Macaca fascicularis: one gene and its partners. The protein of the gene in region 2 purifies or fractionates together with the protein of the main gene of each other region. This does not show direct contact. Links are inferred from orthologs where the notes say so. Each region holds a gene or a part of one and is shown on either strand. Other genes may lie near its edges.

Region 1 (5,104 bases), on a different chromosome or scaffold from region 2:
TTTTTAAATAGTCTTGCTCTGTCACCTAGGATGGAGTGCAGTGGAGTTATCATAGTCCACTGCAGTCCTGAACTCCTGAGCTCAAGTGATCTTCCCACCTCAACCTCCTGAGAAGCTGGAGCTACAGGTGTTAATTTTAAAAAATCCTTAAAAAAATTTGTAGACACAAGATCTTGCTATGTTGCCCAGGCTGGTCTCAAACTTGTGGCCCCAAGTTTCACATTTGGGGGCATTTTGGATTTCCAATATTCTGATCAGGGATGCTGAACCTGTAATGGTCATCAGGTGGAAAATAAATTGCACTAATTCAATAAAAACATAGTTGGATTGCCAATTTCCTATAAAAATTCGTGCATACAGATGAATTCAAAATACACCTGTGTGCATTTGGACCTAACCTAATAAATCATGTACAATGACTGAGAAGACATATGATAACATCCTAGAAAGACAATACATTATTGCCAACAAAACTGCTTAGCACTAAGCTCTGCTAGGCCTATGTAGACTGAATTTCTGCCTCTCCTCTGACACTGATTGGCAGTTATACAATTCATACATTTTTCTTTCCTTTTTTTTTCTTTTTTCTTTTGAGACGGAGTTTCGCTCTTGTTGCCCAGGCTGGAGTGCAATGGCGCGATCTTGGCTCACGGCAACCTCCGCCTCTCGGATTCAAGGGATTCTCCTGCCTCAGCCTCCTGAGTAGCTGGGATCACAGGTATGCGCCACCATGCCCAGCTAATTTTGTATTTTTGTTAGAGACGGGGTTTCTCCATGTTGGTCAGGCTGGTCTTGAATTCCCGACCTCACGTGGTCCACCCGCCTAGGCCTCCCAAAGTGCTGGGATTACAAGCGTGAGCCACCGCGCCCGGCTTTTTTGAGACAGATTCTCACTCTGTGGCCCAGGCTGGAGTGCAGTGGTGCAACTACAGCTCACTGCAACCTCTGCCTCCCAGGTTTAAGTGATTTTCTTGCCTCAGCCTTCCGAGTAGCTGGGACTACAGGCACGTGCCACCATGCCCGGCTAATTTTTGTATTTTTAAGTAGCGACGGGGTTTCATTGTTGGCCAGGCTGGTCTCGAACTCCTGACCTCTTCATCCGGTCACCTCGGCCTTCCAAAGTGCTGGGATTACAGGCCTGAGCCACCGCGCCTGGCCATACGTTTTTCTTTTAAAAGGCAAGGTCGGCCGGGTGTGCTGGCTCACGCCTGTAATCCTAGCACTTTGGGAGGCTGAGGCGGTTGGATCACGAGATCAGGAGTTCGAGACCAGTCTGGCCAACATAGTGAAACCCCGTCTCTACTAAATATACAAAAAATTAGTCGGGTGTGGTGGCGGGCGCCTGTAAACCTAGCTACTTGAGAGGCTGAGACGGGACAATCGCTTGAACCCGGGAGGCGGAGGTTGGAGTGAGCGGAGATTGCGCCATTGCACTCCAGCCTGGGTGACGAGTGAACCTCTGTCTCAAAAATAAAAATAAAAAAGCAAACCAAAAGGGTAAGCGCATCATTTTGGTGCAACGGTGTCGGCTCAAGAGGATTTGCGGTTTGGAAGAGAGCGAGGTTAGCGAGGAGACAGAAGGCTAGGACTTATATGAACGTAAGCTGCTTGGGGAGGGGAGGCAGCCAGCGTCTTCCCTGCTTCAGGCCAGGCATGGGATACCGGCTAGCGGGCGGTCACTGGGTCACATCTCTACGGACGTTTTCCTGTTATAACAGCCTCAGAAAACCCATTCCAAAAGCTCCGGCCCGGAAATCCCATCCTCCACCCGAAGAAAACTCCATTTTCCTTTCCCGTCACCTTCGCTCGGAAGCCCCGGGGAAGCTCAGACCACCCCTCCACACACGCACAGCACCGAGGGCCTGCCTAGAACCCTCCCCGTCACCCTCGCCGTGATCCGCGGCGCGGCGGCCCCCCAGGCTCCCCAGACCCACCTGCAGCCTCAGTGCCAACAGGGACCCCGAGACCAAAGGCAACTCAGCCACCCGCGCCAGTGGAAGCTGCGACCTCGGGACCTGCCATTCGCCGCGCCGGCACGGAGCAGAGGGGTGACGCCAGCAAATCATACTACTTCTTCCTCCTCAGGGTTGACTCCTTTTTTTTTTTTTTTTTTTTTTTTAGCTTCCAAACATTATCAATAATTTCTGAATACAATTTCGCTCCACTCAGACGAGGCGTGCAGGTATGAGCGCCGTCGCCTTCCCACAGCCCCGTGCCCACCCCCCGGAGATGGTCTCGCCCTGGGTCCTCCTCGTTTACGCCGCTCGCCTCCAGCTCCAAAATGGCGGCCGCCGCTGGGGGGGCTTCTGCCGGCCGGTAGTGCCCCGCGCTGCTGAGCCAGCATCGGCTTTTCTACCTCTTGAACCTGGATTCGCTTAGGGGTTGGGAAGGGCAGTGGACGGCGTTGGGGGAGGCCTGACGAGGCAAGTGAGGGCGGGAGAAAGGAGTAAGCCTCTGGCGGGGGAAGGCGGCGTCACTGGCCCTCCGGGAGCGCCGGGCCCCGACTCCGACCCGGTCTCCCCCGAGGACTCGCCCCCGCCGCTTCGGCTGCGACTGTCCCTGTCGTTCCTGGCAGAAGTGGTCAGCGAGGGAAAGAGAAGTGACTTCTCCATGGGTTTCAAGCTCCCAGCTGTTTTGCGGCAGCTCGTACGGTTCCCTCCCGGGATCTTCTTTCCTCCTTTCTGCTTCCCTCTGCTTACCCTTTCATCTCTTGGCGCTGGAGGAGTTAAGCCGACGCCAGCTTTAGCTGCTTAGCCTCGTGGCTACGGCGTTCTCAGCCTCCCCCGCTCGGGCTCTTCCCGTCGTTTTGGGTTGAGAGACCACGAGGTTACTAAGCTCTGGGCACCGCGTAGGCGTCCTTTTAGTTCATCGACTCCAGAGACCTTTAGGATGTTTGTACCACGCTGTACTAAAAGGGTCTCGGCCCTTCGCGCCCTCCCGCCATTGCCCCCCCAGCGCTTCCACTATCACTGTGAAGTTATAATTCTTTTTTGACTTCGTACTGTTTTACGTGCTCTTTAGAAAACAAGAGGTCAGACTGTAACCCCGGCAAGTCTGGCCTCCTGTGACCAGGCGAACCTGAGCTATCATTTATACCCATCCCCTAATTTTTAATTTTACAATCCCTTTAACCCCTTTTTTTCCTTTCTTTTTTCTTCTTCTTCTTCTTTTTTTTTTTTTTTTAATAGAGACGGGGTTTCACTATGTTGCCCAGGCTGGTGTCGAACTCCTGGGCTCAAGAGAACCTCCCATTTTGGCCTATGCTGGGATTACAGGCGTGAGCCACCATGCCCGGCCTTGCAGCCCCAATATGAAATTGCTGCTTTCCCTCAACTGACAGGAAAGAGACTTCCCCACTCAGTGAGTTCCAGGGCTAACCCAAACTCCTCTGTTTTCCCTTGGATTTTGCTTAGTTCACCTTAGTTGTCATCAACATGCACGGTCATGATTTTTTATTTTTTATTTTTGAGAAGGAATCTCGCTCTGTTGCGCAGGCTGGAGTACAGTGTCACGATTCTCGAGGCACTGCCACCTCTGCCTCCCGGGTTCAAGTGATTCTCCTGCCTCAAGAGTCACGAGTAGCTAGGAGTACAGGCGCGCACCACCACGCCCGGCTAATTTTTGTAGTTTTAGTAGAGACAGGGTTTTACCTTGTTGGCCAGGATGATCCGCCCGCCTCGGCCTCCCAAAGTGCCGGGATTACAGGCGTGAGCCACCGCGCCCAGCTGATTTATTATTTGAGACGGGGTCTCGCTCTGTCCCCCAGGCTGGAGTGCAGTGGTGCCATCTCAGCTCACTGCAACTTCCGCCTCCCGGGCTCAAGCAATCCTCCCACCTCAGCCTCCCAAGTAGCTGGGGTCACCAGCGCAGCCACCGCGCCCGGCTACTTTTTTGCGTTTTTAGTAGAAATGGGGTTTTGCCATGTTGCCCAGGCTGGTCTGGAACTCCTGAGCTCAAGCGATCGGCCTTCCTCGGCCTCCCAAAGTGTTGAGATTACAGGCGCAAGCCACTGCGCCCGGCAACATGCACGATCATTATTGAGAGGGCAAGTAACTGTGAGATATTGGGTATTGGATATTCAACGATGATCACTTTTACTACTCTATACATTGAAAATCCATTCAAATACTTTATGTGCCCGCTTTATAACAAAATAACTTGGGTTAGGGCAACAAAAAGGCTTTATAAAGGAGTAAATATGTGAGTTGGGTCATGTAGCATCAAAAGGAATTTGCTGAGCTCAAAAGGAGAAGGTAATTTCGGGATTCAGTACAGGAATATAGAGCTTTGAGAAGCTTTAGCATACTTAGGGAGAGTGGGATAATCAACCTGCTTGAGCATTTAGTGCATGAGTGATTGGTGAAGCAAGAGGTAGGTTAAGATCAGCTTGTGAAGGATCTTGATTTCCAATAGGGAGTTTAGATTTTATTCAGTAGTTAGCAGGAATCCAGTGGATATTTTGTGCAAGGAGTGAGCAGGAGGGTATTTGTTTTTTTAGGATGGTCTCTGACAGCTATATAGAGGATCAACTGGGAACAGAAAAACTAGATGAAAGGAAATTGGCAATCATTCAGGTAAGGCAATGAGGGCCTCCATGGAGGCAGGACATAAAGGAGGTCAGAGAGACACTAAGTAAATGTCAAATGGGATTCACCTGCTGACTGCTAAGTTAATGGTAAGAAGGTGACTTGAGTTTTTATTCTGGGAGAGTAAATGGTTGGCAATACTATTAAAACTTAGTCTGAGACATGCACACAAACATACGATGGTGCCAACCTGCACTTTAGGGGTGACAACACAATGCTCTATAGTGTAAAGCATTGATTTTTATGGTCTGGAGTCTAGATCTGCACTGTTATAGTAGTCACTAGCCACATGTAGCTACTGAGCACTTCAGATGTGGTTAGTCTAATTGAAATGTGCTGTAAATATAAAATACACAGTGGATTTTGAAGATTTAATATGAAAATGTAAAATATTCAACATGATTATATGTTGAAATAATATTTTGGTTCTACTGGGTTAAATAAAATACATTAAAATTCACCTGTTTCTTTTTCACTTTTCCATGTGACCACGAAGAAATTTAAACGTACATTTGTGG
Region 2 (4,333 bases):
TGTAATTAGGTGAAACTGAATTGATTCAATTTTTGTGTTACAGGAGATTACCTGGAGCAATTGATGTTATTGGTCAGACTATAACTATCAGCCGAGTAGAAGGAAGGCGACGGGCAAATGAGAACAGCAACATACAGGTTTAGTATTTTCTTAAATTGAAGGATGATATCAGCATTCTAATTTAATTTATTCAAGTCATAGTGCTGTGCTGTGTTTTAGGTGATACAAAGAGATTTAAAATGTGGAACGAGTCCTCCTTTATTATAAAGGCATTTCCAGTGAGAATTTATAATTTCTGAATCTCTTTTTAATAGGGTTTTTTCCTTTTCTTTGATAGAAACCTAATACAGTTTGAATATCTGTTATCTAAAATGCTTGGTACCAGAAGTGTATCAGATTCTGGAAATTTTCAGATTTTGAAATGTTTGTATGTATGTAATCTTAGGGATGAGACCCAAGTCTAAACATGAAATTTATGTTTCATAAATAATTTATTTAATTTATTATAATGATTTGTTAATTTATGATCATCTTTTTTCCTTTGGCAACTCTGAATAAACTCTGTAGTGGGCCTGAGTTTTGATTGTGACCCGTCACATATGAGTTTGTGTGTGGAATTTTCCACTTGGAATAAAATATTGGTGCTCAAAATGTTTTGGATTTTAGAGCATTTCAGATTTCAGATTTTTGGAGTAGGAATATTCAACTTGTATATAGGTTCACTGATTGAAAAATAAAAGACCACCAGTGATTTTACCACCTAAAGATAACCACAGCTGGTACATCTCTTGTTACTAAGCAAAATTGGGATACTATTATATTTCTGTGTATACTTTTTTCCCCCATCAAAAATTATTTGCATGTTTTCATATTCTTAAAATATGATTAAAATATCTTCCTGATAGCTTCACTGGATGAATATACCATAATTTATTTAATGTGACATTTCCGGGGGAGGTGTAGAGTTCCTTTGTTTTTAAGTGAAAAAATGAGGGGAAGTGAATTATCAGTAAGCTGGATAATTGATGTTAGAACTTTAATAACTGAGACTTCCAGCTATTCAGTTTGGCCATACTTTTTTCATTATTTATTCTGTTTTCTGAGTCCTTTTGAAAATGTCCAGAGCACTTTATTCTCACCTTCGATAAGTTGATCATGTAAAATATTCCTTTTAGCATCTTTAAAGGCAAATCATTTCTATAGTGGAAGATGTTAGTCCATTTTTCCTTTCCTCTTACCATTAAAATGCCATGATTTCTCAAAATAAATACTTAAAGAAATAGCTTATCAGCGTAAGCCCTACAAAAAACACTGCACTTAAATATAGGAAACATTAATAGAAAGAGGGATTGTATGTTTAAAAGATTGCTTTAGTCAGCAAGGATCTGAGAAGTATAAATTAAATATACAACATTATGTTGGCTGTCTTTCCCAAATTTATTTACACATCCTTGGGGACCTTACCAAAAATCCAGATTTTGAGGTGCCAGTTTGCTTGTTTTATTTCAGTAGGTTTGGGGTGCTGCTTATGGTGTCTGTCCCTTAACCTGTTCACACAAATAAGCATTTTGCAAACATTACTTTATTTTTCAAGAAAAAACCCTGTTCTTAAAGTTACAAGGCTCACATGATAAAGTTATTTACATATCTTGCTGCCTATTGCTTGCAGTCTGTTGATGCATGCCTGACAGTCTCTTATTTTGCAACCTGTTGATGACAGGCCCTCGTACAGTGAATGACTGACCTGCTGCCATGTTAATTTCTTAAGGCTAGTGTCTGATTAATGATTACATTGCCTTAATTGAATACTTTAACTTTGGTTGGGTGACAAAGATAATACTTGTTAAATGATCTTTATGAAGTACTTTTTTCTTGTGTGGGGTGTTTTTATTACTTAATTACTTTTTATTAAGAAATTTTTGGTAATGAGCCAGTTGTTTTTTCTTAAGATTTGAATATGCACATTTTAAAAAGTATATGTGTGTGTATGCTCACATAGGCATATGTATGCACATATCACACATGTAGAACTATTACTCTCCCTGCAAAAATACATATATGTGAATTAAACTACCATTTACTTTGTTTCTTAGATTAAATGAAGTTAATTTACTAAGATTAATCTTACATAATATTTATGCATCTGTTTATTTAACTGTGTTCTAATTTTAGGTCCTTTCTGAAAGATCTGCTACTGAAGTAGACAACAATTTTAGCAAACCACCTCCGTTTTTCCCTCCAGGAGCTCCTCCCACTCACCTTCCACCTCCTCCATTTCTTCCACCTCCTCCGACTGTCAGCACTGCTCCACCTCTGATTCCACCACCGGGTAAATAGTAAATAAGACATTTGACTTTGAAAGAAAAATAGCTTGCGAGTGTTTTTTTAAATTTTTGACAATTAAAATAATATCTTGATAGCATTACATTAAAAGTAATAGATATTATGTTTATCTTTAACAGATTCACACTGAAACAGATATATATGTGTCTTGCTTTTTCACAGTATAGGAAAGAGACAGTGTTCTAAAATTGAGAAGAATATACAGATACCAATCTTGTGATTCAAAAATATGATAATGATCCCCCAACTTAAGTTGCTAATAGGATATGTATAAATCCATACTCAGTTATAAACTTTACCAGTGTTAATTTGTTTTAAAAGAAGCATTAAAGATACTTTTAGGATGGGAGTAGATAAAAACATTTTATCTTGTGAAGAGATTGAAATTAATATTTCAGTCTGGTCTTCTGTATACTGGTTTCCTTTTTGGAGACTGCTAGTGGGTGCCTGGTATTTACTTCTTTTAAATAAAAGTGATATAAATGTTTATCATATTTATAGCTACTTTTGATTACTAATTAAAAACCAGGTTAGTGGTGATAGAGAATAAACTCACAAATAATTCCCAAATTTTATTTTTATTTGAATTTTTCATCTGGTTGCCTCTCTTACTTTGTTTTTAATCTTTATCTGCCTTAACCAAGTTTTTATGAAACTAGCAAGATTGATTAAGAATAATAACTTCTTCCCAGGGAGAAAGCTAGTAGTAAATGATGAAAAAATAGCTGCTTATCCTCATCAGGGCAACATGAAAGACATGTATTAGGCTTTACTTCCTATTAATAAAATCAGTTTATACTGGAGAGCCATGTACTCTCACTCACTTTTATTTGCAAGAGAGCTGTCTTTGTTTTAAGGTGCCAGTTGTGATCGGAGTACAGAACCAAATACAGGGTCTGAATAGTCCTTCCCTAACATATTCATCCTTGGCCTCTAAATGTCAGCCACTGCTTCTGTCTTTCATCCTCAGTGCCTTTGATTTCCTTCCACTGTCACCTCTACTCTCAAAAAGTATGGAAAAATATGAAAAAATGACTTGTGGCTTTAGAGGGTCTGTTGTCTCAAAAATAGAGGAAGGAGGAGGTTGTAATATAGGTTTGAGGTCCTTATTCTAGACAACATTAGTATTTCTAAATTCAGTGAATTTCTTGTTCCAACAAATAGATTGAGCAGAAACCACTCATTAGTTGGGGCTGACTTGTGGTTCTTGTGTCTTTAATATGCTGAGTAATAACCAAATGAAAGGGGACTTAGGTGATTCAAAATGAGGACTTCTGTGATTTCTATATGAATCCTTTGTCCTCTGAAAAAGAATTAGATAAATAAAAGAAATAATGTTTTAACATATTTGATTAATGATACTAAAAAATTATTAATGTTTGTGTTAATAATCCTGCTGGATTCCTTTGTAATATTACTTTACTAGGTAGTAAGTGATTTGAAATAATTTTCTTTTTTATTCTTAAAAATCTTTTTAAAAATTTTATTTTTAATTGACGGTATTACTTGTATATGTTTAATGGGGTACAGTGTGATATTTTGATCATGTCTATGTTGTAGAATGATTAAATCAAGTTAATATATTCATTGGCTGACATACTTACCATTTTCTTGTGGAGAGAACATTCTGAAATCTACTCTCCTAGCAGTTTTGAAATATACAGTTATTAATTATAGTTGCCATGCTGTACAGTAGAGCTCCAAAACTTTTTTTCCCATTTTACTGAAACTTTTGTGTCCTTTGAAAATCATCTCCCCTCCCTCACCCATGGCCCCCAGCCTCTGGTAACCACCATTTTACTCTCTGCTTCTATGAGTTGGATCATATGAATGAGATTGTACAGTAATTGTCTTTCTGTGTCTGGCTTATTTCACTTAGCACAGTGTCCTCCAGGTTCATGCATGTTGTCACAAATGACAAAATGAAAGGATTTCCTTATTTACTAATATAGTATATCCCCAGATGGCTAACATTTTATATGTTTAGTAC
Region 3 (5,000 bases), on a different chromosome or scaffold from region 2:
CACTTAAGAAGCATATTTCAGAATAAAATAATTCTCTGTTTTGGAGTTAAAGCACAGACTTGGAGCAGTCCAGTCCACAGATGTATAATGCAATATATACATATAATTTTAAATTTTCTAATAGCCACATTTTAAAAAGTGAAATGAATAACATTAACTTCAAAATAATTTTTTAATCCAGTATACAAAAATATTACATTTCAACTTATAAACAATATAAAATTGATGAGCTATTTTTACATTTTTTGGTATTTGATCATTAAAATCTTTCATGTGTCTTACATGTATGGCATACCTCAACTGGAATGTTAAATTTTGACTGGAAGTACTTTCTTTTTATTTCTTTTTTTGTTTGTTTGTTTGTTTTATCTTAGTGTTCTGTGAAATGATTTTTATTTAAAATACAATTTATTACTGCAAAAGTAGATTTTATACCCAAGTTGTCATAAATACTAAAAAAAGTTTTCCAATAGCCTACTGAACATTAGTTTTTATATTTAAATTAATAAAAAATGAAATTTAAAATTCAATTCCTCAATCACACTAGCTGCATTTCAAATATTCAATATGCGTAAGGCAGTGTAGATCTGGAGCTATGCGAGACCAACCTGGGTTAGAATCCTGACTTTGCCTCTTTCCGGCTGCTTGTCCTTGGGAATTTACCTAGCCATCCCCAAGTTTCAGTTCTATCTTCGAATTGGAGTCGAGGAAATCCCACAGTGAATATGTTTTAACTCCTGCCTGGAAAGCTAACAGCAGAAGACAACCACTATTTGTTTTTCCCTTCATGGAAGTGGTGGATTCACTGCATGATATAATAAAAATCAGAACCAATCAATGTAGGGATAGTTAAGTAAATTTCATTATTCCATACTCTGAAGCCATAAAATGCTAATAACTAATTTATTTAATCACCAATTAATACTGAAATCGGTTATTATTAAGGAAGAAAACCGTAATATTAGGAATAGCACGACTGCTGCCCGTGTGCTCAAAAAAACCTAGAAGGGTCTGCCACCCATCCATTAACAGCGGTTATAGGAAGCAACAGAGCGGGGGCAGGGTCCAGCAGGCACACGCTTCAGTTTATATTTCTTGTCAGTTAATTTCCAAAAACGTTGTTCTAAAAAGGAAATATAATACTGTTTTACTTTAAGGGGCAAATCTCAAATGTGCTTTGAAACGACTACGCTTTTGCCTCAGTCTGGAATGTGATTTGAAATCTAGCTTAACTATACTATAATAAAAGGCCACATGAAAATACTTTGTCAGAACGAAAAACATGCAGCCTTAAATCCGCTTTCGGTTGGCGGTTTCCCGCCGGTGGAACGGAAGCAAAACCGCCTTTGACGTCAAGGGAGGAGTCCCCTCCCAGTTACTATGGTGAAGTCTATGCGGCCATCTTTACTGTGGTCATCTCGCACCAAGGGTGTCGTAGCGGGGCTGTTGGGGCTCCACAGAAAGTCGGCGGAAGGTGAAATGGGAAAGGAATCATGCGACTCTGTAATAAGAAGCTGACAGAACCACGAAGGATCAGGGACTTAAAGCATTAGATAACTTGTTAGTGGGATGCAGGTTCCACAGGCAAGCAGAACGATTCAAGCGAATTAGTAAGGTTTCTGCCCGGATCTTGAGAGCCGCTTCCGTTGCTCAGCGGAAGTGTCGGTCGCAAGAGGACAGACGCCTGGAAGAATCCGCTATCGGCAGTGTGCACAACCGGAATCATGTCGAGTTTGGCGGTGAGAGACCCGGCAATGGATCGATCACTGCGTTCCGTGTTCGTGGGGAACATTCCGTATGAGGCAACTGAGGAGCAGTTAAAGGACATTTTCTCGGAGGTTGGTTCTGTTGTCAGTTTCCGGCTGGTATACGATAGAGAGACGGGAAAACCCAAGGGCTATGGCTTCTGCGAATACCAAGACCAGGAAACCGCGCTTAGTGCCATGCGGAACCTCAATGGGCGGGAGTTCAGTGGCAGAGCGCTTCGGGTGGACAATGCTGCCAGTGAAAAGAATAAGGAGGAGTTAAAGAGCCTCGGGCCTGCAGCGCCCATTATTGACTCACCCTATGGGGATCCCATCGATCCAGAAGATGCCCCTGAATCGATTACCAGAGCAGTAGCCAGTCTCCCCCCGGAGCAGATGTTTGAGCTGATGAAGCAGATGAAGCTCTGTGTCCAAAACAGCCACCAGGAAGCTCGAAACATGTTACTTCAAAATCCACAACTGGCTTATGCGCTGTTGCAGGCGCAAGTAGTGATGAGAATCATGGATCCAGAGATTGCTCTGAAAATTCTTCATCGGAAGATACATGTCACACCACTGATCCCAGGCAAATCTCAGTCTGTGTCTGTCTCTGGCCCTGGCCCTGGCCCTGGTCCTGGCCCTGGCCCTGGGCTCTGCCCAGGACCTAATGTTCTGCTGAACCAGCAGAATCCACCAGCTCCTCAGCCTCAGCATTTGGCTAGAAGACCTGTGAAGGACATTCCTCCTCTGATGCAGACTCCTATCCAGGGTGGAATTCCAGCTCCAGGGCCAATACCAGCTGCAGTTCCCGGACCTGGTCCTGGTTCCTTAACTCCTGGAGGAGCAATGCAGCCCCAACTTGGAATGCCAGGGGTTGGCCCAGTGCCTTTAGAGCGGGGACAAGTGCAGATGTCAGATCCTAGAGCTCCTATACCTCGTGGACCCATGACTCCTGGTGGTCTACCTCCTCGAGGACTGTTAGGAGATGCTCCAAATGACCCACGTGGAGGGACTTTGCTTTCAGTCACTGGAGAAGTGGAGCCCAGAGGTTATCTGGGTCCACCCCATCAGGGTCCCCCCATGCATCATGCCTCTGGTCATGACACTCGTGGCCCTTCCTCACATGAGATGAGGGGAGGGCCATTAGGAGATCCCAGACTGCTAATTGGAGAGCCCAGAGGCCCCATGATAGATCAAAGGGGTCTACCTATGGATGGTAGAGGTAGTAGAGATTCTCGAGCGATGGAGACTCGCGCCATGGAAACTGAGGTCTTAGAGACACGTGTAATGGAGAGGAGAGGAATGGAGACCTGTGCCATGGAAACCAGAGGGATGGAAGCAAGAGGCATGGATGCAAGAGGATTGGAGATGAGGGGCCCTGTCCCCAGTACAAGAGGTCCTATGACTGGTGGAATTCAGGGTCCTGGTCCCATTAATATAGGGGCAGGTGGCCCTCCTCAGGGACCCAGACAGGTCCCAGGCATTTCAGGGGTGGGGAATCCTGGAGCTGGTATGCAGGGTACAGGCATACAAGGAGCAGGCATGCAGGGAGCAGGCATGCAGGGAGCAGGCATGCAGGGGGCAGGCATACAAGGAGGAGGGATGCAGGGGGCAGGCATACAAGGAGTGGGTATACAAGGAGGAGGCATACAGGGGGCAAGCAAGCAAGGTGGAAGCCAGCCTAGCAGTTTTAGTCCTGGGCAGAGCCAGGTCACTCCACAGGATCAGGAAAAGGCGGCTTTGATCATGCAGGTTCTTCAACTAACTGCAGATCAGATTGCCATGCTGCCCCCTGAGCAAAGGCAGAGTATCCTGATTTTAAAGGAACAAATCCAGAAATCCACTGGAACTTCTTGAAAGATTTTAGAAAATATTTGGCTGTAGTCTCAAAGTTTATTCTGTAGCATGGAGAATGGGTGCAAAAAGCTGACTTCTGCATCCCCACACTTGGATTAGGGTTTCCCTCCTCCTAGAACCTAATCTTACTTTTTGTTCTTTTTATTTCTTTCTGTTTTCCTTTTTTATTTTTAATTGAGGGTGGGGGGAGGAGGGAGTGTGTCTGTTCACTTTAAGTTACTGTAAAATAACTCTGAACATGACAACATTATGCCAAATAAGATTACAAAGAATAAGCAGCAATATTGAAGTGTCTACAGTATGTTAACTACATTTTTTAAATGTTGAGTAAAACTTTGTGAAAACTGCTCATAAAGACTAAAAGTTGACCTGTTAAAACGTTAATGTACTAAGATGGTTTTAAGATTTTTGGTTGTATAACAAAATAAAGTTTACCCAAAAGTATAAGACACATTTTTTGGTAAACCATTTAAAATACAAAATCCTATTGGAGGCAATAGGATAAGCATTGTCTTAGTGTTTTAGAATTATTTTTGAAATATTAGAGTTAACAGGATAAGGTTAAACTTGTATTAGAATTGTTTTTTTCTAAAGTTGTGTTACCTGAAAAATCAAGGAGTACACCTGGTTTACTGTTGCTTCATTTATCCCAGCCTTCAGAGACCAGCAAGGTTCTGCCAGGCCCCAAGCATCAGAGCATGTTGATTTTGCTGTGACAATTCTAAAATCAACCAGGTTACTTAAGTCCACTCTGATGAAACCCTATCTCTCAATACCTTCCAATTTCTCAATAGTCTTTAAGCCCTAAATCTGAGTCAGTAATTCTCTCACATCCTTCCCAAAAATCAGTGTCTAGGGACCAGTTGATCTGGATGAGTTATACATGATATTTGACTTTTCATAAGTAGTAGGTTTCACTAAGTAAACTCTCAGTTTCTTGGTATCTGGCTTTCATATACAGATGGTGTCCATTTGCTCCACCAGACAGAAGTTAAAAACCTTTAGACTAAACAGCATTTAACATGCCTTTTAGTTTTCTTATTTCATAATCTACTTTTCTATCATTAATCATGTTACCAGAATAATCAAGGCCCAAGTAGGTAGAAGTTTTTATATAGCCTGAATACTCAGTTGACTTATTGCTTATTTTACTTTTTGTAAGGAATACAGCCATTTAGTCCTAATATACATACCAATGAGACAATTAAAAATTGGTTGAAAGATGGGGCTTATTACATTGCGCTACTACGACTTTATTTTTCCTTGAAAATAAAGCCTTGAGGATGTGAACACAAACATTTGTATTATAAAACAAGTAGTAATTAATAAAAGCATAAGTTATCAAATATCAGGTGATCTTCTGTGGAGAAGGAAAACCAATATCTAGTTACAGATTAC

Evidence for each region. The genes of interacting proteins can lie anywhere in the genome.
Region 1: the proteins of FIP1L1 (region 2) and CPSF2 purify together in Homo sapiens (affinity purification with mass spectrometry; 7 studies listed by BioGRID and IntAct, with this or other methods). This does not show direct contact. The link is inferred for Macaca fascicularis from reciprocal best matches to the Homo sapiens genes FIP1L1 and CPSF2.
Region 3: the proteins of FIP1L1 (region 2) and CSTF2T purify together in Homo sapiens (co-immunoprecipitation; 3 studies listed by BioGRID and IntAct, with this or other methods). This does not show direct contact. The link is inferred for Macaca fascicularis from reciprocal best matches to the Homo sapiens genes FIP1L1 and CSTF2T.

The regions. Positions count from the first base shown.
Region 1 is NC_088381.1:160,117,675-160,122,778, forward strand, and holds the start of CPSF2 (cleavage and polyadenylation specificity factor subunit 2), read left to right. Parts: upstream 1-1,782; 5' UTR 1,783-1,934; coding exon of another isoform or gene 1,935-1,979; 5' UTR 1,980-1,981; coding exon of another isoform or gene 1,982-2,066; 5' UTR 2,067-2,182; exon of another isoform or gene 2,183-2,225; intron 2,226-2,262; exon of another isoform or gene 2,263-2,646; intron 2,647-3,147; exon of another isoform or gene 3,148-3,360; intron 3,361-4,503; exon of another isoform or gene 4,504-4,574; intron 4,575-5,104. UniProt on the Homo sapiens protein: Component of the cleavage and polyadenylation specificity factor (CPSF) complex that play a key role in pre-mRNA 3'-end formation, recognizing the AAUAAA signal sequence and interacting with poly(A) polymerase and other factors to bring about cleavage and poly(A) addition.
Region 2 is NC_088379.1:80,479,165-80,483,497, reverse strand, and holds part of FIP1L1 (pre-mRNA 3'-end-processing factor FIP1), read left to right. Parts: intron 1-43; coding exon 44-137; intron 138-2,172; coding exon 2,173-2,329; intron 2,330-4,333.
Region 3 is NC_088383.1:94,860,513-94,865,512, forward strand, and holds CSTF2T (cleavage stimulation factor subunit 2 tau variant), read left to right. Parts: upstream 1-1,678; 5' UTR 1,679-1,724; coding exon 1,725-3,602; 3' UTR 3,603-4,046; downstream 4,047-5,000. UniProt on the Homo sapiens protein: May play a significant role in AAUAAA-independent mRNA polyadenylation in germ cells. Directly involved in the binding to pre-mRNAs.